4 linked regions of the Canis lupus familiaris genome follow. The protein of the gene in region 4 purifies or fractionates together with the protein of the main gene of each other region. This does not show direct contact. Links are inferred from orthologs where the notes say so. Each region holds a gene or a part of one and is shown on either strand. Other genes may lie near its edges.

Region 1 (5,734 bases), on a different chromosome or scaffold from region 4:
AAATGATCACATTAGAATGACTAAGTTGGGAGACTGAACTTAAAATCCTATCGTTTTGCTCAGCGTTATTTCTTTCTTAGCTTTCCTCATATAAGTTTTACTGAACAAAAAGGGTGGAAAACAGCAGAGCTTAAACGTATTCAGCAAAACCAACTTTCAGAAACCTGAACTTGCAACTCTATAGAAAACAATACACAAGCAGAAAAAGTAATAGGTTTTATCTGAAGTAACAATTTAGTCAAATGACAAATTTGGTAGTCAGTTTAATATGCTGTAGCCCTTATCTATCTCAATTTAGTACGATTCTATAGATACTTATTCTCTGGTACTGAATTCCCATTTGGATAGAAATAGCTGCTAGGTAGAAGAAAAAAAATTTAATTTAGAAACAATTTTCCTACAGCCGAAATACCAATCAATTTTAAAATTATATATGTATGTGTACAGCTGTATGAATGTATATACACATGTATGTATGCATACGGATGTGTTTATGTGCATACATACCTATATTTCCTCTCTCCCTTTCCCTCTCTCCAGAGATACAAAATCCTGACTTAGGGTTTTGTACGCTGTTTATTTCTCCTATCTAGGAAACTTCACATATTCTGAATGCACTCGATCTGGTGAATTGTCAACGATGTCAAAAACTATTATGAAAAAAGGGAAGGTAGGTGATATTTGGCGACCTTTTACTATTTTAGGTCAGAGCAAGCAGCCTCCCTTCGATGTTCTGAAGTGAAAGATGAAAACTTGCAGCTTTGAAGCATAAACGAACATAATTACACATTTACTACAATCACCTACAATTTGACTTACACAACACCACAAAGACATCTAAAACATTTTTCTACATATCTTTTTTACATTTGTTAAAACAGCTGGCTATGTTAAATACATTTTCAGAATGCATTTGTTAACCATACGGATAAACACACTGAGCCAAGCAATACAAATAACATCAGTTACCATTTAACCTAATAACTGCACCAATCACTTTAAGAAGATACAATTTAAGGGGAAGTGTGAGATCATCCATGATGCACTGCAAAGGTACTACATTTTAGTCCTAAGAATGGTCTGAAGGTGCTGAAAGAGGGGATTCTCTAGAAGGTGACCCAGGGTTTTCCTCGGGTGGAAAAACTGTGAGAGTACAAGCTCGAATCCCACCAAGTGACTCTGGAAGGTCAAAAACTTTATGCCATTCATCCTTTTCTGGGTCATATTTCTGGACAATTTCTACCATACAACGATTATTCCAGGAATATCCACCCACAACATAGATTTTATTTTCAAAGACAGCAACTCCAACATCACTCTGACCTCTTAACATAGCAGCAATTGGTGTCCACTGGTCAAGGGTTGGTGAATAGTATTCACAGCTTAGAACATCATCATAATCACTTGTTCCTCTGAAGTGATTGCCACCAATGACATAGAGCTTGTCTCCAACTGTACACATGCAGTGCAGACCTCGGACTGTAGTCATTGGAGCCTTCTGTGTCCATTTGTCTGTATCTGGGTCAAAACACATGAGCTCGTTTTGGAAAGTGTCATGAGTAATTCCTCCTGAAATATACATCAAGCCTCCGTACACTGTTCCAGCATGGCCATAGTGGGGCTCGCTCATTTTTGCAACATAGCTCCACTCATTCATCCTTGGGTTGTAACATTCTACTGTGGCCAGTTCACCAGCCGCACTTCGCCCACCAACAGCATATAAATGTCCTTTAAGGGCACTCAAGTGGAAAAACGTGCGCTTTTCATTTAACGATGCAACCTGCATCCATTTGTTGTACCGAGGATCAAACCTGAAAACTGTATCAACAGCAGTTTTCCCTTTCGTATCATAATTACTTTGACCACCAACTACATAAAGAAAGTTTCCAATGACAGCAATACCATGCTGGTAACGAGGAGCATCCATGGGGGCAAGAGATCTCCACTCTTGTGCCCTTTCGTCATACATCCGTAATTCTTTGCTGACAACCAGCTGCTGCCTCAAAACTCCTCCTAATGTGACCAAGTGTGTCGAGTCAGATCGAATGGCAGTTCTATCTGACTGCATCACTGGCTGCATATATGGCATCATTTGGTAATTGCTAGCTTCCAAAAGCAAATTCACACAAGTATTGTCTGTTCTCATGAAATCTACTGTCTGCACGTAATTGATGAGATCCTGGGGTGTCATCAATGGAAATCGAATGTTCTTCATTAATTTTGCAGCATAATCCATCCGAGGGTCTTCCAATCTTAGCCAGCGACAGGCGGCCTTGAAGAGCTCAAGTTCAGTGCAGTGCTTAAGGCTGTTACTAGAAAGCACAAAGGCAAGCCGTTCAAAGGGGAGTTTTAGAAACTCCCCGGTACTCAGCAATGCAGGAAAATTCTTCAGGATGAAATTATTGACGTACTTATCCACTTCGATCAGATTGTAGGTGTTAGCAATCCGCCCAACTTCAACACAGTTGTCTAAAGAGACTCCCGAAATAAGGAACACCTTACAGAAGTCCAAGACGGGCAAAATCTGTAAGAAGCTGGCAGCTTCAAGGGTGTCCTGAAGATTGTCCATATTGAGAGAAAGTTTTGCAGTATAAATGAAATCAATTATTTTCTTCAGCCCAACCTTGTTCACCCCATGCAGCTTAATGCACATCAGATCCTGTTCTTTCATTCCGCCTGTGAACATTGCCTTGAAGTAATCACTAGCGGACGCCATCATAGCTCTGTGAACGGGGAAGATTTCATCTCCGTCGCCCGGGACCAGGGTCACATCACAAAGCAAGCCTTCTACTCTGAGCTGGTCGAAGCCTTGCAGCACCACCGAACTGTGAGTGTTGCTGGTAAAAAAACGCGTGGTTCCTGCCTTGCAGGGCTGTAGGTGGGCGGAGACGCCCATTTCGCCGGTGCCGAGGGACACTTTCATGGGAAAGCCTTCCTCCCGCGGAGACCCGGGCCCCCCGGGGAACGAGGCTGTGGCCTGAAAGCTCTCAAGGAGACGAGCCGCGCACGCCCCGAGCAGGAGGGCTCGCTTTCCTTGATCAAGGGCGAGCGGTCACCGCGGCACCCCGCCAACACACCCGCCGGTCATCCGCTCAAAACTGGTGGCGGGCAGGGCCACGGAGGGCTGCGGACCTCAAATCTGATTGCTCTGCGGACGATTCATCACCTGAAGGCAGTGAAGCGACCCGGTTCGCCCGGTCCGGCCTGCGCCGCCGCTCCTCCAGCAGTTCCGCTCCCGGCCAAGGGGGAGGCGCCGCCACGTACTGCGGCCGGCGACGCGGCGAGGCCGGCCCACCTCAGCGCGCGGCCCGCTGCGCCCTCCGCGCTCGCTGGAGCGTCGCCGCGGACGCCGGCGGCGGTGCAGGGACGACGGCCTGGACCGCGGGCCTGGCTCGGGCCTGGGCCTGGAACGCGGGCTCTGCCCCGGACGCCGAGCCGGTCCTTCCGGAAAGGCTTGGTCCCAGGATCCCCCGGGCTAGGAGCGGCCGCGGCGGCTACTGCGCCTGCGCGCCGCCGGGCCCCGTCAGCGGGCGGGCGCGTGGGGGCGGGGAGCAGCGGTGCGGGAGGCGCCGAGGGCGGGGGCCGGGGCGGGGGGCCGGGCGGGGTCGCGCGGAGGAGCGGGCGCGGCCTGGGGCTCCAGGGGCGCCCGCGTGGTGCTGCGCGTGTGCTGCGAGCTTCTCACGGCGCCTGAGCTCTCCTCCTAAGTTCATACTTTTTTTTTTTTTTAAAGATTTACACTTCCTGGCTTCTGCCTTTTGAATAACGATGACGTGCGGCTTTTGTATAGATGGGAAGGCAACGGGGAAGAGGCGGCGGCCCTGGGGGCAAGATGCTTAAAACTGTTCCTCGATAAAGCACTTGGGCTATGATTTTTATCCTACACCTCAGTTACCATTTTGGTTCACATATTCAAATTACTAGTCGTTTAATACACGGATCATGGGTCTCTAAATACCAAATTGTGACCACGGCACATGAATAGTATAGCCTGGGTTTTGGCTGTGCAGTGCAATTCCGTTGTAATTGTTCTCCACTCACATTTTTATTTTTATTTCATTTTATTTTATTTATATTTTTATTTATTTATTTTTTGTTGGTGTTCAATTTGCCAACATATAGAACACCCAGTGCTCATCCCATCAGGTGCCCCCCTCAGTGCCCATCACCCAGTCACCCCCACCTGCCACCCACCTCCCCTTCTATCCACTCACATTTTTTTTTAAAGATTTTATTTATTTATTCATGAGAGACACAGGCCGAGAGAGAGAGACAGACAGACACAGACAGAGAAGCAGGCTCCACGCAGGGAGCCCGATGTGGGACTCGATCCCGGCTCTCCAGGATCACGCCTTGGACGGAAGGCAGACGCTCAACCACGGAGCCACCCAGGCATCCCTATCCACTCACATTTTTAGATGGCTACAGGACTTTCCGATGATTCCACATACTATAGTTTCTTTTGCCCATTATTAGTTCCTGAATAAAAACTTTGTACGTCATTGTTTTATAGACTCCAATAAACTAAAATCTCAGCACAGAAGTTTCCCCTGTTTTTAGATAAATCCTAAGGACAGGATTCAAGACGTATAAAAATTTCTTTCCAAAATATGATCACCAGCAATGTTTGTGCATTTCTCCCATATTTATTTTTATTTATTTTTCTTTTATGGATATTTTTATTAACTTGTATTTCTCTATTTAGGAGTAAATTTAAATTTTGCCGTATGAATAGATGTACATTTTGACATAATTTCTTCCAACATTTCCCATGTTTTGAAGTGTCTGATGCCTTTTAAATCTATCTAGTTTATTTTTTGTATATGCAAACTAGTAAGACTATAATTATATTCTTTTATTATACTTTTTCTACTTTTACATAAAAGATAGGAGCCCGTACTCACTATTCTGCCCCTAGCTTTTTTTCATTTGGAGATCTTCCCGTGTTAGTAAATAGAGAACTTTGTTTTGTCTCCCAATAAATGGGTGTGTCATAAATTATTTAACCAATCCCGGACTGATGGACAGTTAACTGTATCCAATTGTTTTCTGTTGTTTCAGTGGATGGCAGCAAGTTCCAGAGGGCAGACTGCTGATGTCTTCCACTATATGCTCCAGCATATCTTAAACATGTTCAAGTGTAAAAGGTGGGCTGGATTAAGACTGGCTGTGAGAAATTCTTTACTGGACTTTGTCAGCATTGGGAAGTCCTAGAAATTGGCTTAGTGCAGGGGTTGGAGATGGAAGGACTCTCCTGAGCAATGAAGACTCCATACTGGATGTGAAGAGGTACTTGCAAGGAATCAGTCTCATTCTGGAAAATAAAGAATCGAGCGGCTATTTTGGAAGTTGTCAGAGCAAGAAGACATGAGATCTTTTTATTACTAAGCTTGCAAGAATGATTAAGAGCTGAGGAAGCAGACCTATGGTCTTAATAAAACAATTACTATGGACAGATATATTTCATCATATTCCCATGTTTAGTCATTTCAAAAGACTTCATCATGAAATAAATTGAATCAAATTTGTCACATTTATTGATAGCATTAAGCAACTATAAAGTTAAAAGTTCATAGGAGGCACCAGCCCATCATAGATGACCTTAATAATGTACTTACCTATTTTAAAATATTTATCGTGTTTCAATATTTTTGCTTGTATGTTGTCATGTTCACCTGTACATTGTGTTAGTTATATAGTGTTTACCTTTATATATATTTTTTAAGACAGAGGGGGG
Region 2 (5,085 bases), on a different chromosome or scaffold from region 4:
CAGTGACTCTGTGTCTGCCCACAACCAGTGTGTGTTCAAGACCCCAAGACGGAAGTCCGGGTAAGTCCACCCTCCTCCAAGGGGATCACAGGGTGTGCAGAGGCCCCGGGCCTGCATCTGGGGGCCCCGAGGTCCGCGGTGCCCAGCCAGGCCACTGGGTGGGCCCCAGGGTGAGGAGAGGACAAGCAGGCAGAGGCCAAGCGGGTTACGCAGGGTGGTCGGCGCCCAACTGGAAACCACTGTGTAGGAGGCGCGACAGGGCTGGCTCGGCCACCGCAGTCGGGAGGCCCACTCCGTTGAGGACGAGGACAAAAGCTTCCGAGAACTGCTTTTTGTTCTAAACCCCGGGTGTGCAGTACGTCCTGCGGGGGAGGCACAGCAGCGCCACCCAACAGCCTCAACCTGCCGCAAAGGCGCAGTTCCCTGTCCCCAACCCCGACCCCCGCTCGGCCACCGCGCTGACTCCTCACACTTATATACACATTTACATACTTCGGACCATGAAATTAGCAGGTGGCTTAGCAACTCCTTCTTTGTCAGCCTCCCAAGCTCAAAGGCTGGATGCGTCTCAGGAATGACAGGTTAATAACTCAGGAATTCGAGCGATCATTAACTCCAGTGTCATTGGATTGATTTGCTCATTGTGTATTTTGCTGAACTTCCTCGGAGGATTTTCCCTGTCAGACCAGGGGCCGTGATGAGCTGCGTCTGTGCTTCACTCGGGAGACGGGAGACGTGGGCAGTGCTTCTCTGCTCCACCCCAGGCTTAACCGCTCAAAACTAAGGAGGGAAATTACAGCATCAAGAGGGATGAAAACAAGGGATGTGCTGTTTAAGCAGTGCAAAAGACGATCTGGAACACCTATGATTCAGCAAATGGACAATAACTAAAAGAAATTTTTAAAAAATCAGTTCCCACGGCAATGTGTTCCAGGAAAGTCAGCACTCTACAGAAACCCACTGCCTTCGGGTGCCTCCGGGGAGCAGAGCCCACCCCCTGCCCTGCACGCGCCCCTGCTGCGCTGTGCTTTGTAGGAATTCCGACACCACCCATCTACCGCTTCCCTCTGTCCCCCTTGCCCCAGTGACATTAGAGAGGTAGGGTGTTAATGGTGGACTTGATGAAGTTTGAAGACCCATTTTCTCCCCCTGGAGACCAGCCTGATTTGAACAAATTGAGGAGAACAAAGCAGCCCCCTTTCTGTCCTTGGGAGAACGCCTGTTGTGTGTCCCTTTTTGCAGCGGGCTCTGCTCCTCCCTGGAGGGGTCAGGGGCAGTCAACAGAGATCCCTCCTGGCCGGGGGGTGGGGGGGTGGGGGTGGGCACCAGTCCTTGCCTCTGCCCTCAATGGGGCCTGGGGGCCCTTTACTGGTGCTGCCGGTTGGGGGAGCGAGAGGCGGAGCCGGGGCTGGAAGGCAGGGAGCTGCCGCTGGGGGCCTGCAGGGCGTGGGGGTCGAGCTGCGGACCCGGGCCAGGCTCCCCTGGCCCCGACTCCTCGCTGCTGTCCTCCTTATGGCTGCTCTGCTGCTCCGGACACTCAAAGTGGACACAGTGGAACACCTGGCGAGAGAGAGCAAAGGCCCGTGAGCGATGGCGGGTGTCCTTCTGGGCCGGCGGCCCCGGGGCGGCGACAAGAGGCTGGTGCACCTGTCTCAGTTGGGACAGAGGCAAATGGGCTGAGGGTCTGTGGGTTACAGGCAGTAACACGGCCTCCTAGAAAATGTCCTCTCTGGATTACTCCATTTCGGGTTCCTTTTGTCACAGGAGCGCTCTTGTAATTAATTGATGAATCCCTGCCTCTGGCAGTCGGGTTAAGAGTCACCAGGGCTTGACTGGGGTGACAGCTGCACATAAAAACCCCTGCGTCTACGCTGCAAATGGGTGAGTTGTTCGGGCTGTGGGTTAGATTTCACTAAAGTCGGTATTTAAACATAAAGTGAGCAGGGCGTCAACCCCCTGGGGGAGGACCAGGGCCCATCTCCCAGGGTCAGATCGAGTCCCCCTGTCAGGCGTCTCCTGTGCCCTGGGGGAGGGAACAGCTCCGGCACGCTGGGGCCAGTGTGGAAGGAAGGCCCTCCGCGGAGGGTGGAGGCCGGCCGCAGGAGCCAGGCGGAGCTGGCTAAGCCTGGGTGCTCTGTGCTCAGCAAACCAGGGGGAGGCCTGCCTGGCCCTGAGAATTCACAGCATGCGGTGTGTGCGGGTGTGAGCCTGACACGCGGCTGTGAAACAGGTCACCGCTGGTGTGTGAGCTGGGGGGACTGGCGACGGCCAGGAAGTCTGTGGGAGGCGGGCCTCTAGGGCAGCCGCCCTACCCTCCCTGGCACACCCGGATATTCCTTTCTCTACCAACACCGCCTGCCCCGAACTCTAAAGGGGAAGAACCCCATCCTCTGCACCGTGGTTTTTGGTGTGGGTACGCAGATCCACTTTCCAAGGGCGTGCTGGCAGTTTTCAGGGAATGAATTTCCAGATCCTCAACCCCTATATTTCCTAAAACTGCCTGCACACATGACTGAATTCACAACACCCTCCCCACCCCCACGGAAGCAGAGCACAGCAGTCACCTGGCCTCAGCGAGGGGCCCTCGCACCTCCTGGGCCCCATGAGAGCGGGGCTCCGCCCGTCAGATGTTCAGAATTCAGAACTGATGGGTAATCGGGACTCAGGTGATTTTTTGAACATAATTGAGACTTTTCCAGAATTTAAACATTTTCAAGATACACTGGCTAAAGCCCATGAGTAAAAGTCTTGCACGATGACTACAGATTTGCTGTGCCTTATTCAGGGAGTTGGTTAAAATCTATTTTAGTGAATCGTGTCATTAAATATTTACTTCTAGTAATTGGTTCCTCATCTTCCATCCTATGGTTTTTTTTACCTCCTATTTATAAAAATAATTGTATTTCAACTTAATATTTTCCTTTTCAACCTTACATGTTCAAAGGGTTATTGTACTTTTTCCCAAAGTTCTTTTAGGAGATAAGCAAAAAAAATGTTTGAAGGCCCCTGCTGCTGTCTGTCCTCAGAGGAGATTCTAAGCCCTCAAGAGAGTGCTTTTAAGTTAACAGGCAGGGCCTGGAGGACAGAGGGGCATTTGGGGGTTAGAAGTGTTTCGGGCAAGCGGAGTAACACTGCTGAAGACCCTCAGGAAGAGAAGGCCCAGTGTTGAAGGAAAGACCCGGGTTGGTGAGGCTGGCGAGGTGTCTGGGGAGAACATTCCATGACCTGCTCGTCCCATGAACACCGCTTCCCACAGGGCTGGGCTTGTACGTCAGATCCAACAACAAAGGCCCTCCAAAGTGTGCGCGCTGGTGATGAGGTGCCAGGTGTTTGGACAGACTGGTCTGGTCACCAGGGGCAGGGTGGCCCGGAGATGGAGGACAGTGGGGTCAACTCAGGGCCAACGGTGTTGTCCAGGGCAAGGGCTGAGCGCTCTGGGCCGCAGGTCACAGAGGCCTGTGAGGAGGAAGGGAGGGGCTGTGGTCCAGGAGGAGTTGATGCCTCACGGCATCAACCTTGGCTACCTGTTGGAGGTGAAGTTCAGCAAAGTGGGACAAATCCAGGAGGGGGCCCAGACTGAGATGAGCTGGCACAGGAGCTGGAGCCCAGGTGGAGGTGGGGGGAGAGGCAGCGCAGGAAGGGCTGCACAGACTTACTGGGGAAACTGAGGGGTCCGAGGAGGGCTGGATCCAAGCAGGAGGCAGTGGCAGCCAGCGGCAGACAGAGGGTCAGCTGGAATGGGGCATAGGGGTGAGTTCTACTTTCTGAGGGGCCCCATGGCGCAATGGTCCTACACACACTGGGGTACTGGGCTGGTGATGTGCCAGGGGATTTTCGGGGGGAGGCCAGAGTCCCAACAAACACCTGCGAGGCTCCCCTAACAGTACGACCTCCTCCCCAGGCTCTCTCCCTGTTGTCCCCAGCCTTCTGCTAAAGAAGTAAGATGGCGAGACCTGTAAGGGTGTCACTAAACTTGGGTACGGACATGGAGTGCATGCCTGGAGCCCGTGCAACAGCCACGAAGGACAGGCCGGGTGACACGGGGGCATGGCATGCTCCCAGCCCACAAGGGTGGGACACACTGCTGGCTCTTCCCTGGCCACCCAGTGCTTCCAGGAGAATGACAGCGCCCCCACCCCTCCTGCTCCCTCGTGGTAGGGTTCCACCCTTTCTTTCCGTGGACCTGTTGGCTGGACCGGAGCCACTCAGCATCTGGTGTGCCCACGTCTGGGGAGTCTCTTCTGGATAAGGGCCTGTGTGCAGTGGCTAAGGCGCTGACACTCCAGGGGTGGGCAGGACGCAGGGCAGGGCTGGTGGGCCCCTGCTACTCTTCCCAAGGGAGAGCTGGGGCGGGGAGGGGGGTGGGCAGGGAACAGTCCCTCCTTCATCCGAGGGCTCGATGTCCTCCACGGCTGAGCACGTGCGTGTACATGCACTGTGCACACATACACACGTGCGTGCACACACATGACCTACTGCAGAATCAGGTGCACAGAGAAGACAAGTATCAACTGCAAGATTATAGTCAAAATATAAATTCTGTGCTTACCTTCCTGCATCACTATTTTCTCCATGTTCCCACTTAATTCATTTATCCACTGCTGTTTCAAATTTCACATCTCAAACTCTAATACGAACACTAATGGAGGCCATGCGTCTCCAGGTCCGCCCTGTTCACAGGGGCAGAGCTGGTCTCTTAGAGGGAGCAGATCTCTCTCTTCACAGCTCAGACTGGGCCTGCTCTCGCCATGGTGCTCCTGGGGGCCTCGCAGCATCTGTCCCTCCTTCCTTTTCCTTTCTTCTCATCCTCCCTGCCAGTTAGAGTAAATCCCCCTGTTTGGGCCCATCTGCAGGTACTCACCTGTCCACAGCCCTATGGGAGGGCCTTTTATGATTTTAAACGGTCTGGGCCATCAGCTCTGACTTGTACCATACAGGGCAAATCCAAACGGCCTCTAAGTGGCAGCTATTAATCCATTCTCCACCAGTTTAACATTCTTTAAGTTTTTCAAGGTTTTAAGTTTTTCCAGCTACCAGCTGCCTGATGGCACTGCCCTGTGGCCCCGGGGTGGGCATACAGGTGAC
Region 3 (5,511 bases), on a different chromosome or scaffold from region 4:
AAGAATGCTCTCAAAGTCTCCAATTATCTTTTCTCTGAAGACCATTTCCAACTCTACAGACACCCACCAGAATCGCTAAGAGATAAAGCAGAAACCATCTTGATCTAGCTTGAGACTCCAGAATAGGCAAAGAAAGCTCTGAACCTTTCTGGAGCCCACCCTTCTAAAGGTCAATACTGGGAATGGTCTTTGGTTGAAAGGTAGTCTGACTGTTCATGTCTCTGAGCCCGTATTGCACTGAGCTAAGGACACAAAGCAGCAGACACTAAGTCTCCCCAGCACATCTCTCTACAGAAGACTCCTCAGCCACTGCTACCAGGATCCTGCTTTTTTTTCACTTGTTTCAAAGTTTTGATTTCATCATTAATGGGGTTGGGGAGGTGAGGCAGGAGAGAGCAAAACTGGTTACAAAAAACAAAGATAAAATTAATACTTGAGGTATTGGTTATGGATTCTATTCAATCTGAAAATTTTAATCCAGTTAGATCTCCCCTGAGTATCCTATTGCTGACTCTAAACAGTGGCTCTCCCCTTAAAAACAAAAAAACCTGACATCAGAGTCCTATTCACGTAAATTCTGATGTTAGCTAATCTAGGGGTATGGCTTGAGCAACAGAAATTTTTTTAACTCCCCTAGGTGATTCCAACATGCAGCCAAAATTGCAGCCCACCACTGTAAATAGTTCTGTACACCTATTCACTTCATCATCTTGAAGAAGCTCCCCCAACCTCCTGTTCTATTGGCCCAGTGAATTCCTGACCACACATAAAACTAAACCAGAGCATCATAAATAAAAGCCAGCCCCTATTTCACAGCCTCAGAGCCACAGACAGGAAACAACTGTATACATGCTTAAAAAATAAAAATCAGCCCAAGGAAGAAAAGTGTTGACTTGAAAAGAGGCTCAGGCAAGTATAATAGGAGAAAAAGACACCACTCCCCTCACCCTTGGGTGTTTTCCATACAGCTCTCTGTGGAAACTGTCTCCATTGTGTGTTGGGGGAGACGTGTGTATGGAAGGTTGGATCAGAAGTCTGAAGAACCTAGGCTAGTCTCAGTTCCACCACTTCCTGTGTGAGGTTCAAACAAGTGTTTTGAGTCTCTGTTTCCTACCTTGTGAAACGAAGGTAAAGCCATAATCTTCATAAGAACCTTCAGGGAATGAATGTTTGAATACTTGGTACCTGGCCCTTAGTGCAGTTTCCCCTCTGTCCCTCAAACTTAAGACCAGAGGTCCCAGCCTGGCTGTATTACAGTCACCTGGATGCATGTAAAAGTACCAATGCCTGGGCTTCACCCCAGGCTAATTAATCAGAATCAGAGGGGGAGGGAGCAGCTCAGCTGTATTTAAGAAGTTCATGGGGGCACATGGGTGGCCCAGTGGTTGAGCATCTGCCTTTGGTTCAGGTTGTGACATGGGAGTCCCATGTCAGTCTCCCAATATAGAGTCTGCTTCTCCCTCTGTGTGTCTCTCATTAATAGACAAAATCTTAAAAAAAAAAAAAAAAAGGAAAAAAAAAAAAGGCAGCTCTTCAGGTGATCTAAGATGTGGTCCCAGCTAAGAGTCACAGAGCTAAGGTGCTCCTTTAACCAGCTTGATCTAAGAGTCACTGCCTTTTAGCTAATTATAAAACTTCCCCAAACTAAGGGCATTTCCACAACTCAGGAAAATCTGCTGTTCCACTTCAACCAAACTGCATTAAATCAGCCACATAACCGTGGCATTATTTTGCATCCAAAATTTGTTTACGGGGCCACTACTGCTATTTCCAATTGTTCTGCTAAATTACTTTCCCTCCCTCTGTGTATCATGCAAACTATTGGCCTATTTCTCCCAGGGGATCCAGCGAGGAAGACGTCACCAATCCCACTTTTTAGGGGAGAAAAATGAAGAATCAGAACTACAAGGTTTCTCTGACTCAGGCTCCCTTCATTACATAGCCCAAATCAAGAAATCATTAATCTCCCATTAACAGGGCGTGTTAAAACAGATTGAGGGGTCCAACCCCCAGACTGATTCAGTGGTCAGTGATAAGGCTTGAAAAATCTGGTCATTTCTAGGACACGTGGGTGACTCAGTGGTTGAGCGTCTGCCTGGTTGTGTTGATCTGTGGCTCCCCTAAGAGGAGCCAGCTTCTCCCTCTGCCTGTGTCTCTCATGAATAACTGGATGAATGGATGGATGGAAGGAAGGAAAGAAGGCAGGCAGGCAGGCAGGCAGGCAGGCAGGAGATTTGGCCGTTTCTAACGAGTTGCCAGGTGATTCTGCAGCTGCTACTGCCAGTCTGGAGGTCAGTTTAAGAACTGCTGGTTTAATGCCTCCTTCCCTGCAGGTGGTCCTTATTTTGCATAAGATGCAGCAAAATCAGATACAGGTTGGCTAAGTCGTCTTCGGCAGTGTTCCAAGAGGCAAAGGAGTAAGAGAGCTAGGCTAGACTTTGGTCATTCCCAGCCAGGGCCAAAGAGCCATTTCGGGAACAGACCCTTCAAGGATCACACGCCTGCAGAACCCTTCCGACCGCTGGTGACAGCCGGAGATCCGTTCTGAACTCCTTAGGTGTGGCCGCTTCGGGCTCGGACGGAAGTGACTGGAGAGGGACCAAGGCGCGGGCTGAAGGCGCTGGCCTCCGAGGCCAAGGTCCCTGGAGCTCAGGCCCCCGCCATCCCTCCCCTCTATCTCTTCCCTGCTCTCCCCCAAACACGCCCTCGTGTTCAGAAGCACCTGGAAGCTCCTTCTCCAGTTTCCCCGGAACCGAGAGGCTGCAGCCACAACTTCCAAAGACCCCCCCCCCCAACGCTTCGCCCCAAGGAATCCCACGCCGCTCTCTAAACCTAACCGTTCTCTTGCGCAGCGCCCTCCCACCCTCACTTTCCACCCCAGAGTCCATCTTCGACAACCCCTCTTTGTTCTCTCCACATTCACCGACCCAACGGGTCCTCAAGACTCGAGAGACCCCCCCAGCTCACCCACACGTATCTACTCCCCCAAGCCCAGATGCTCTATCCCGAGCCCCAACAGCCAGGGGCACCGCCCCCGTCACTCACCACAGCCCTTCCCCCCCCCCGCCCCCCCCCCCCCCCCCATCGGCCTCTCCCTTTTCGCGACGGCCCCTCCTCGCGACCCACCCCTCCTTGGCTCCTTCCCTCTCCGCTCTGCTGCTGCCGGGCTCTCGCGGCCGCCCAGAGCCCCCCGTTAGTGGGCACCGCCCTCCCTACCATGAAAAGTCGGAGGACGCAGGAGTCTCCAAACTCGGACTGAGAGGCAGGAAACACCCAGCTCGCGCAAGCGGGGGGCAGAGGCGGGCCCGGGGCGGGAACTTCCGCTGCGCCAGCGCGCTTCCGCCCCGCAGAGCGCGCCTTCGTAAAGGGTCCGTCGTAAACCTACACGTCGGCCGCGTTCCTTCCAGCCTCTGCGGCTGGAGTAGGTGGCATCACTTCTGAGCTGGATCAGGCATTAGCCTGATGAGGGGTCCATTTTCCCCCCCCACCTTCCAGAGAAGAGGGCAAGATGCAAGGAGGTCGTCCTTCCCGAGGGCAGACGCTCTGCGGAACTGTCGTTTCCCGGAACTGGATAATTGGTTCCCAGCGGAGCTCTCAGAGTGGACACCCCGGGGCAAGATGGCGGTCGGGCCTCGACCGCTGCCCCGGGTCTGGCAGAGCTCGAGGGTATTGGGCTGAGGCGGCGGGAGCTGCGGCCCCGACCCCGAGCGCGGGGGGCCTGGAGCGGGTAAAGATCTACGGCCTGCGGGTAGCGAGTGGAAACGGGGTCTTGGGGTGTCCGGGTGGAGGTGACGGCGGGGACTCTGAGGGAAGGGGCCCTTTGGCGGGGTCCCTGCCTCCCCAAGTCGAAGGGCAGGTGCTATAGGGGCTGGCTTTCGGGGCGGCGGGGGTGTCCCCTTCGTCGTCTTTCCACCCCTATTCATCTGTGGGGAGAATAGGCTTTTATAGACAGACCGGTGCTGGGTGAAGGTTTGTTATGGTGGTTGTCGATGCCGAGGAGAGATGCTGGGCCCAGGAGCCCCCAGACCGGAGTTCAGGCCCCGCTGACTCGCGGTGTGACCTTGGGTGAGCTCCCTCACCTCTCGGAGCCTCGGTTTCTTGCTCTGTAAAATGGAGCGATCAGCTCGTTTCGCATAGGAGTTTGTGTAATGCAAGTTTTAGCGTCTGCCACTCGGCGCTCGGTAGGCAGCTGGTGTTAATGGTTTCAATAGGAAAAACTTGGTCTATTCGGACTCTGCTCAGCCCTACAGGCAGCCTTGCGTTCTCAGCTTTTCTTCGCTGTCCTGGGAGTGGCCGAGTCCCTTGGGTCTTACTTGTTTCACTTAACTGATTTGGAGTTAGACGCGGCTTCAAATTCGGGAGACGAGTGACCTCTCCTGAGTCGTGCTCCCTCTACATTTCATTTTCTCCGTGTGAAGGTGGGATCCGTAACATGCTCCTAGATGGGCTGTAGCCTTCAGTAAATGCTGTTATTAATGGCCTAAGTCCTGTTGCCTGTTCTTTATTTTTTTAAACAAATTTTTAAAAGATTTTATGTTTTCATGGGGGGGAGGGGCAGAGACACAGGCAGAGGGAGAAGCAGGCCCCATGCAGGGAGCCGGACCGGGGACTCGTGGGACTCGATCCCTGGTCTCCAGATCAGGCCCTGGGCAGAAGGCGGCGCTAAACCCCTGAGACACCCAGGCTGCCCCCCCTCCCCTTGCCTGTTCTTTAAAAATTGGGCCACTGAGACCTTCAAGAGCTGTTGGAAAGACAAAATTGGTTAAATATCTGTACAGTGTCTGAAACATGATCTGCCCTTAACAGATTGGTGGTGGTCACTAAACCTGGCTGCCCAGCTAGTCCATAGGGGGAAAATCCTCTTGGGCTCAGACAGCAGTTGATACTTAGGATGCTTCACTGTGAGTGATGCCCTCTGGACTCTTTCATAATTCTGCATGAAGCTGACCTCATCCAGGGAAGACTGATTTTGAGCAGCTACCATGGGACTGTAGACATAGAAAAGCATCTGAGGCCTGTCTCTTAGTATTAAAATCTTGGCTCTGCTCCTTACTAAATGGTCTAAGGTGGACTATGGGATGTAACTAAATGATGTTACAGGGTTGCTGGTCTTACTATGTAGAAGGACGGGACACGTAGTGGATACTTAATTTATTTTCCTTTATAAATAATCCTGGTTTATCACTGCCCTCTTGTGTTTCTAATTTTTCCACATATATCATTGTTTCCTAAATTGGGTTAATTCCTTAATTTGGGTTTTGTTTTGTTTTTAAAGTCTAGGTGCTATATATAGCAAAGCTCAGTTACATGCTATCTGCTTTGAGATACTCCTTGTTAATGTTTTTCCACTTAATCGTAATCACAGTGTCATGATGACTAAGTCAGAATAGAAGTGTAAATGTTTCAATTCTTTTAGCACCCCTAGGAGGTAGGTACTATTATCCTCAATTTATAGATAAAGAAGCTGAAGCCTAGAGAGGATAAGCAATTTGACCAAATGAAGTAGAACCA
Region 4 (5,085 bases):
ACCAAAACACATTTTGGTAGCTACAATGTGCAAAATCTAACCTTAAGATAAAATTAGTACCAATTCCTTGTCATTAATACCTCTAGTGCATTCATACCTTAAGGAACGTTACATAATTGCTTAATATTTTCTTCTTCCTCCTCTGTCCAAGATCTTTTATGAGAGGCACTTATAAAGAGTTCAAGTTTTGGCGGCGCTATAACAAACATACACATAGTATAATGATATATTTTACTATGCTAACAAAGTATCATTTATAAAGAAATTTTTATAAAGTCAAAAATAGGTTATTGGTAACATGATTACCTTTAAAGCATTGATTTTCATTCACAATATTACTTCATTAATCTTAAACAGCAGTTCCATCTACAAAACATTCTACAGCTTTTTCTTTTTGAAAAGGAGGAAAATAAAAGCAGGTAAGGTACTCATAACTTCTAGTTTAACAATATCAACTTCATTTCACAGCGTTGATTAGTAGAGAACATTTTCAATTAAAGTGGTATACAATTTACAAAAATAGAATGATTATATAATGTAAAACATTGTCCTCCATTATGAAGAATGTGTATATGTGTGTATGTGTGTGTGTCTGTGTGTGTATATACATATACAGATTTCTTATAAGTTTCACTATTAAATAGCCCTTATTCAAGTACTTTTTTCTGGTATCTCTTGAAATAATCACCTTGCTATATTATTTGTAAATACATAAAAAAATAAAAGGTTAATCTAAGAAAAAGTTAAAAGTTTCAGTGTGGTTGACTTAAATATCAGCCGCTTACTTCAGTGAAAACCTGATTTGAATTCAAAACAGGTTTAGGTGCCACTAAGTTTAACAACTTAGTCAAAAATATAGATACATTTAAGTGTCAAATATTTAGTAAATTTCCAATATGCTAACAGAGAAAAATTAAAAGTTTGTAATAATCTAGTCATCTGTCCATCCAATCTTACACAATCCCCAGACAAAATTCATTTATATATAACTAAAATAATACACTAATATACAATATACCTGCTAACAAACACATAGGTAGCCATAAATAAAACTTTATTCTTTAATTTCATTTACAAGCTACCAAGTATTATGTATCGTACACAGTGCTGAACACTTAAATGGCTGCAGTCATGGAAGGATCCAGACTGAATGGAAAGCTGTAGATAAAAGAAAAAAGCAAAGTAATACTGTAACAGAAAGGTGGCAAAAGCATGGTTTTGCCATAATGAAATCAATCAGATTTGTAATTATACATCAGTCCTGGTTAAAACAAAGTCTGAGCGCCATGCGATTCTCAGCTTTATTGTTTGTAGTCCGGCTAGAGTCTGTATAGTCATTTTGTGTTTTGCAGTTATTAAAATAAAAAAAAAGTTAAAAACTATAGCAGCAACAAGCAAACCCTGTGACAGGAAGGCAAGGGTTAAGAACTAAAAAAAGTTTATACAGTGTGTTTAGGGAAAGTGTGTGCAGTTTATCTTCCATCAGCAGGAGTTCGACTGAGGGACAACATGATTCGGGCAAACCGCTCACACAGTTCATGTGTGGAATATGAAGGTAACTTCGGTGGTTCGTGAAAACCTTTAATCTCAGTAGAACAATCGAGCAGTTTTGGCAGAAAATCTGTCAGCTTCTCTTGGAGGTTTGCTGTAAATACAAACAATTAGATGTAGCTAAAGATAGAGAGGGAAAGAAATTATCTTTAACATGATTTATTAAAGTGGTCAATTGATGTTTCATTTCAAAATATGCAAAATAATCACCATTTGGTGGAGAGAGGTAGAATATAAATGGCAAGGCAATGTGCACAACTTGGTTTGTAAACAGGAAAAAAAAAGTAATGATGTGAATGTAAAATATTACAGAATATAAAAAATGATAAGAATAAATAATAATCTAATTCTAACTACACTTAATCCCAACAACTGAGGTGCCCACTAGCACAGGTTAAACTTACATTCCATTTCTTGTCCAAGATAGGAACACCATCGATTTCTCATGTCTTCCACAGCAAGAATATCTTTCTCTTCCATTTCATCCACCAATAACAAGGGCAAAAATGGGACAATAAACTCGTTCATGATAATCAGACCATTGTTTACTTCTCGATCCTCTCCAGATTCAAACAATTCTGCCGCTTGCTCATTTAATTTCTTAATGCAATGAGGAAAAGAAAGAGTTTGGGTTTTTTTAATTAAATAAAAACACTTGTGTTAATATTGAAGATGACATAATAAGTATGTTTACAAACAATTTTAGAACAAATAGCAATCAGGAAAAACAATCTCAATCTATTCGAGCATGAAGTCTCTTAGAAAAAGCTGTACATATAATAATAACAAAAACAAAAGCAAAAAGAAGTGGTGAAAATAGTTATATTTTTAAAGTTCATATTCAGCTTATATTACTGTAATCATCACTACAAGGGCCATTTTTATTCTCCAGAGGTAAATTTCCCCTATTCTAAAATTTGGTAAGACATCAAAGTAATTTTAAAAATTAAAAAAAAAAAATTCAGATTCCATATTAACTTTGAAGAACATTTTATCATCTTTTTGGAAATGCCAAGTGAATAAATATTGTTGTATTTCTTGAATATAAAATAAAAAATCAATCAATTCATTATTCCTTCAAAAAATTCTTACTGAATACATACTATATGCCAGAGGCTGTTCTAGTTTCAGAGGAACCCAAGTGATTAGTACAGGAAACCCTCACGGAGCTTACAATTTGCCATCGAGATTAGAAAACTTCTGTAAAGGACAAGGTAATAAGATATACTTAAGGCTTTGAGGGCCATATGGTTTCTGCTGTAACTACTCTGTCATTGCTGCACTAATGCAGCCATATATAATATGCAAATGACTGGACTATGTTTCAATAAAACTTTATTTACAAAAACACATGGTAGACTAGAGTACAGGCCAAGTGTGCTGATAGCAGAAGACAGAAATTCATGAGATAAGAAATACAGACATAGGAAACAGATAAGAAATTACAGGTATAACAAGAGCTTAATATTGAAGGGTTTAGGTCTGAAATTTTATGTTTAGAGCATGATAGATATGCTTTTGAAATATTCATAGTTTTAAGCTGAATTTCAAATAAAAAAATTATATTTTTATGTTTATGTCATTCTTGAAGGATTCATCTCTTGACTTTGTAGAGAGGCTTATGATCAAAATCTAACTCAGTCACTAAGCAGTTAGTTATCTAATCTTGAGCAAATACATAATTTCTTAGCTTCAGTTTCTTCATATGGAAAATGGAATATTATCACCTTCCATATACAGTGGTTAAGAGAATTAAATGAAATAAGCCATTAAGCACCTAGTATAATTTTTACAATATACATTCAAAGACATAATAGTTAACTATCATTCTGAAATTTAATGTTAACTTGTCTGGAAACAACTTAAATATCAAACACCCAAAGCCAAATTTATTCATCTTCTTTAGAGTCCCAGAAGCCAAACACAAAACTACAAAGTCAGGCAGTTTTGATGATTCTTTTTCCTTCTTTCCACTCATCTAGTAGTTACCAAGTCCCTTGATGGCACTTCTTTCATCATCTTCTATGCCCTCTTCTTTGTACCCACTGTACTTCTGCTTTGGTTGAGGCTCTCACCTTTCTTCCTCCTTCGAGGGACTTCAATCTCTACTTCTTTCTAGTTCATCCTCTAATATGCTATAGCCAGAATTATTTTCTAAAACAAACCTGAACATGTCAAATCTACTTAAACTTAAAAAGGTCCAAACTCATTAGAATGCTGCATAAGCTTCTACATAGGCTGACATCAACAAGTACCGTTAGCTTCATCATTTCCACCTAACCCTGTTCCTCATAACCTAGCCACAATGGATCTATCTTCATTTTCTGTTGTATACTTCCCATGCCTTTTCATATACTGTCCCTCTGGGCTAGACTGTTCTTCTGTCTTCTCTACAAGGCATAAAATTCCTATTTATCCATCAAGATCCAGATCAGTGTTGTTTGTATCTCTTACAGTTTTCCTTGACAACTTGCAGGCATATGATTTTGCGTGTTTCTCATATTGACATTTATTCTGGAATATAAAAGTCATTTCTGTACAGACGGAGTTCTCAGAGGGCAGGATATAAACAGGTCTTGTCTTTGTATCCCTCAAATCTGACACTCAGTAAATATTCAATACAAAAAAACCCAAAAGGAACCCTGACATAATCCTCACGAGGTGTCATTTAAATCCCTGTGTAAAACACCAAACTAGATATGGCTGGTTTACTATTATAAACTAATGAGAAACATTCTATCATTTTTTTAAATGTTTTGAAGTAACCAAGTTTTGGCTGTATTTATGCTTAAAATAGCTTTACCAAAATATTTCCATATCCCAAGGCTTTAATATTTTTACATTAAAAATTGCTTTAATTCATTCCATATATAAATATATAATATCTTGTATTTTTTTAAGCTAAAATATATTCCAGTCTTCCTTCTCAGGTGTTGACTAAAAACTTTTTGAAACTGGCCAAATTTAAGAACTATCCTCCATGGATACAAACCACTAACAATTCAAGTTTTAAAATACACTCAAATGCAATAAAAGCAGCTGAGAGAAAAATAGTAAGATCACAAACTTCTAATATTCTCATTTGAAAATTTTAAAGACATACTAAAGACTACAATTAGTTTATACTATGTAGTTCTACTGAAAGAAAACATTTTACCAGCATACCTAGTTAGTTGTTTATATTTGAACCATGTAACTTATATAAGCTCAAAAATCATACATTCTTGAATAATTTTGTATTCAAGAGCAATGTTAGTAGTTAAAGATGAAATTCAATTGGAAAAATATATAAAGATGGACTTTGTCATTTAATACATATTAGCTAATGAGAGAAAGTACTCCAGACATCTAGAAAGTAATGTGATGTAAAAAAAACTACTAAAAAGATTTTTTAAAGTTTATATAACAATAGTAATATTTCTGCACATGGATAGTAAAAATATTTGAGGGGAAAAAACCTACCAAAGACTAGGTGAGAAAAAAGGATACTGTATTACAATGAATCTTTTCACAATATGTACACCAAATATACTA

The links.
Region 1: the proteins of USP25 (region 4) and KLHL9 purify together in Homo sapiens (affinity purification with mass spectrometry; 3 studies listed by BioGRID and IntAct, with this or other methods). This does not show direct contact. The link is inferred for Canis lupus familiaris from reciprocal best matches to the Homo sapiens genes USP25 and KLHL9.
Region 2: the proteins of USP25 (region 4) and BTBD9 purify together in Homo sapiens (affinity purification with mass spectrometry; 3 studies listed by BioGRID and IntAct, counting the BioPlex papers as one, with this or other methods). This does not show direct contact. The link is inferred for Canis lupus familiaris from reciprocal best matches to the Homo sapiens genes USP25 and BTBD9.
Region 3: the proteins of USP25 (region 4) and KCTD10 purify together in Homo sapiens (affinity purification with mass spectrometry; 4 studies listed by BioGRID and IntAct, counting the BioPlex papers as one, with this or other methods). This does not show direct contact. The link is inferred for Canis lupus familiaris from reciprocal best matches to the Homo sapiens genes USP25 and KCTD10.

Annotation. Positions count from the first base shown.
Region 1 is NC_049232.1:40,904,266-40,909,999, reverse strand, and holds the start of KLHL9 (kelch-like protein 9), read right to left. Parts: upstream 3,286-5,734; 5' UTR 2,924-3,285; coding exon 1,070-2,923; 3' UTR 1-1,069.
Region 2 is NC_049233.1:7,340,346-7,345,430, forward strand, and holds part of BTBD9 (BTB/POZ domain-containing protein 9), read right to left. Parts: intron 3,733-5,085; coding exon of another isoform or gene 3,541-3,732; exon of another isoform or gene 3,526-3,540; intron 1,561-3,525; coding exon 1,366-1,560; 3' UTR 1,337-1,365; intron 781-1,336; 3' UTR 1-780.
Region 3 is NC_049247.1:17,947,994-17,953,504, reverse strand, and holds the start of KCTD10 (BTB/POZ domain-containing adapter for CUL3-mediated RhoA degradation protein 3), read right to left. Parts: upstream 3,362-5,511; 5' UTR 3,220-3,361; coding exon 3,127-3,219; intron 1-3,126. UniProt on the Homo sapiens protein: Substrate-specific adapter of a BCR (BTB-CUL3-RBX1) E3 ubiquitin-protein ligase complex. The BCR(BACURD3) E3 ubiquitin ligase complex mediates the ubiquitination of target proteins, leading to their degradation by the proteasome.
Region 4 is NC_049252.1:13,121,899-13,126,983, reverse strand, and holds the end of USP25 (ubiquitin carboxyl-terminal hydrolase 25), read right to left. Parts: intron 2,152-5,085; coding exon 1,956-2,151; intron 1,646-1,955; coding exon 1,473-1,645; 3' UTR 218-1,472; downstream 1-217. UniProt on the Homo sapiens protein: Deubiquitinating enzyme that hydrolyzes ubiquitin moieties conjugated to substrates and thus, functions in various biological processes including inflammation and immune response.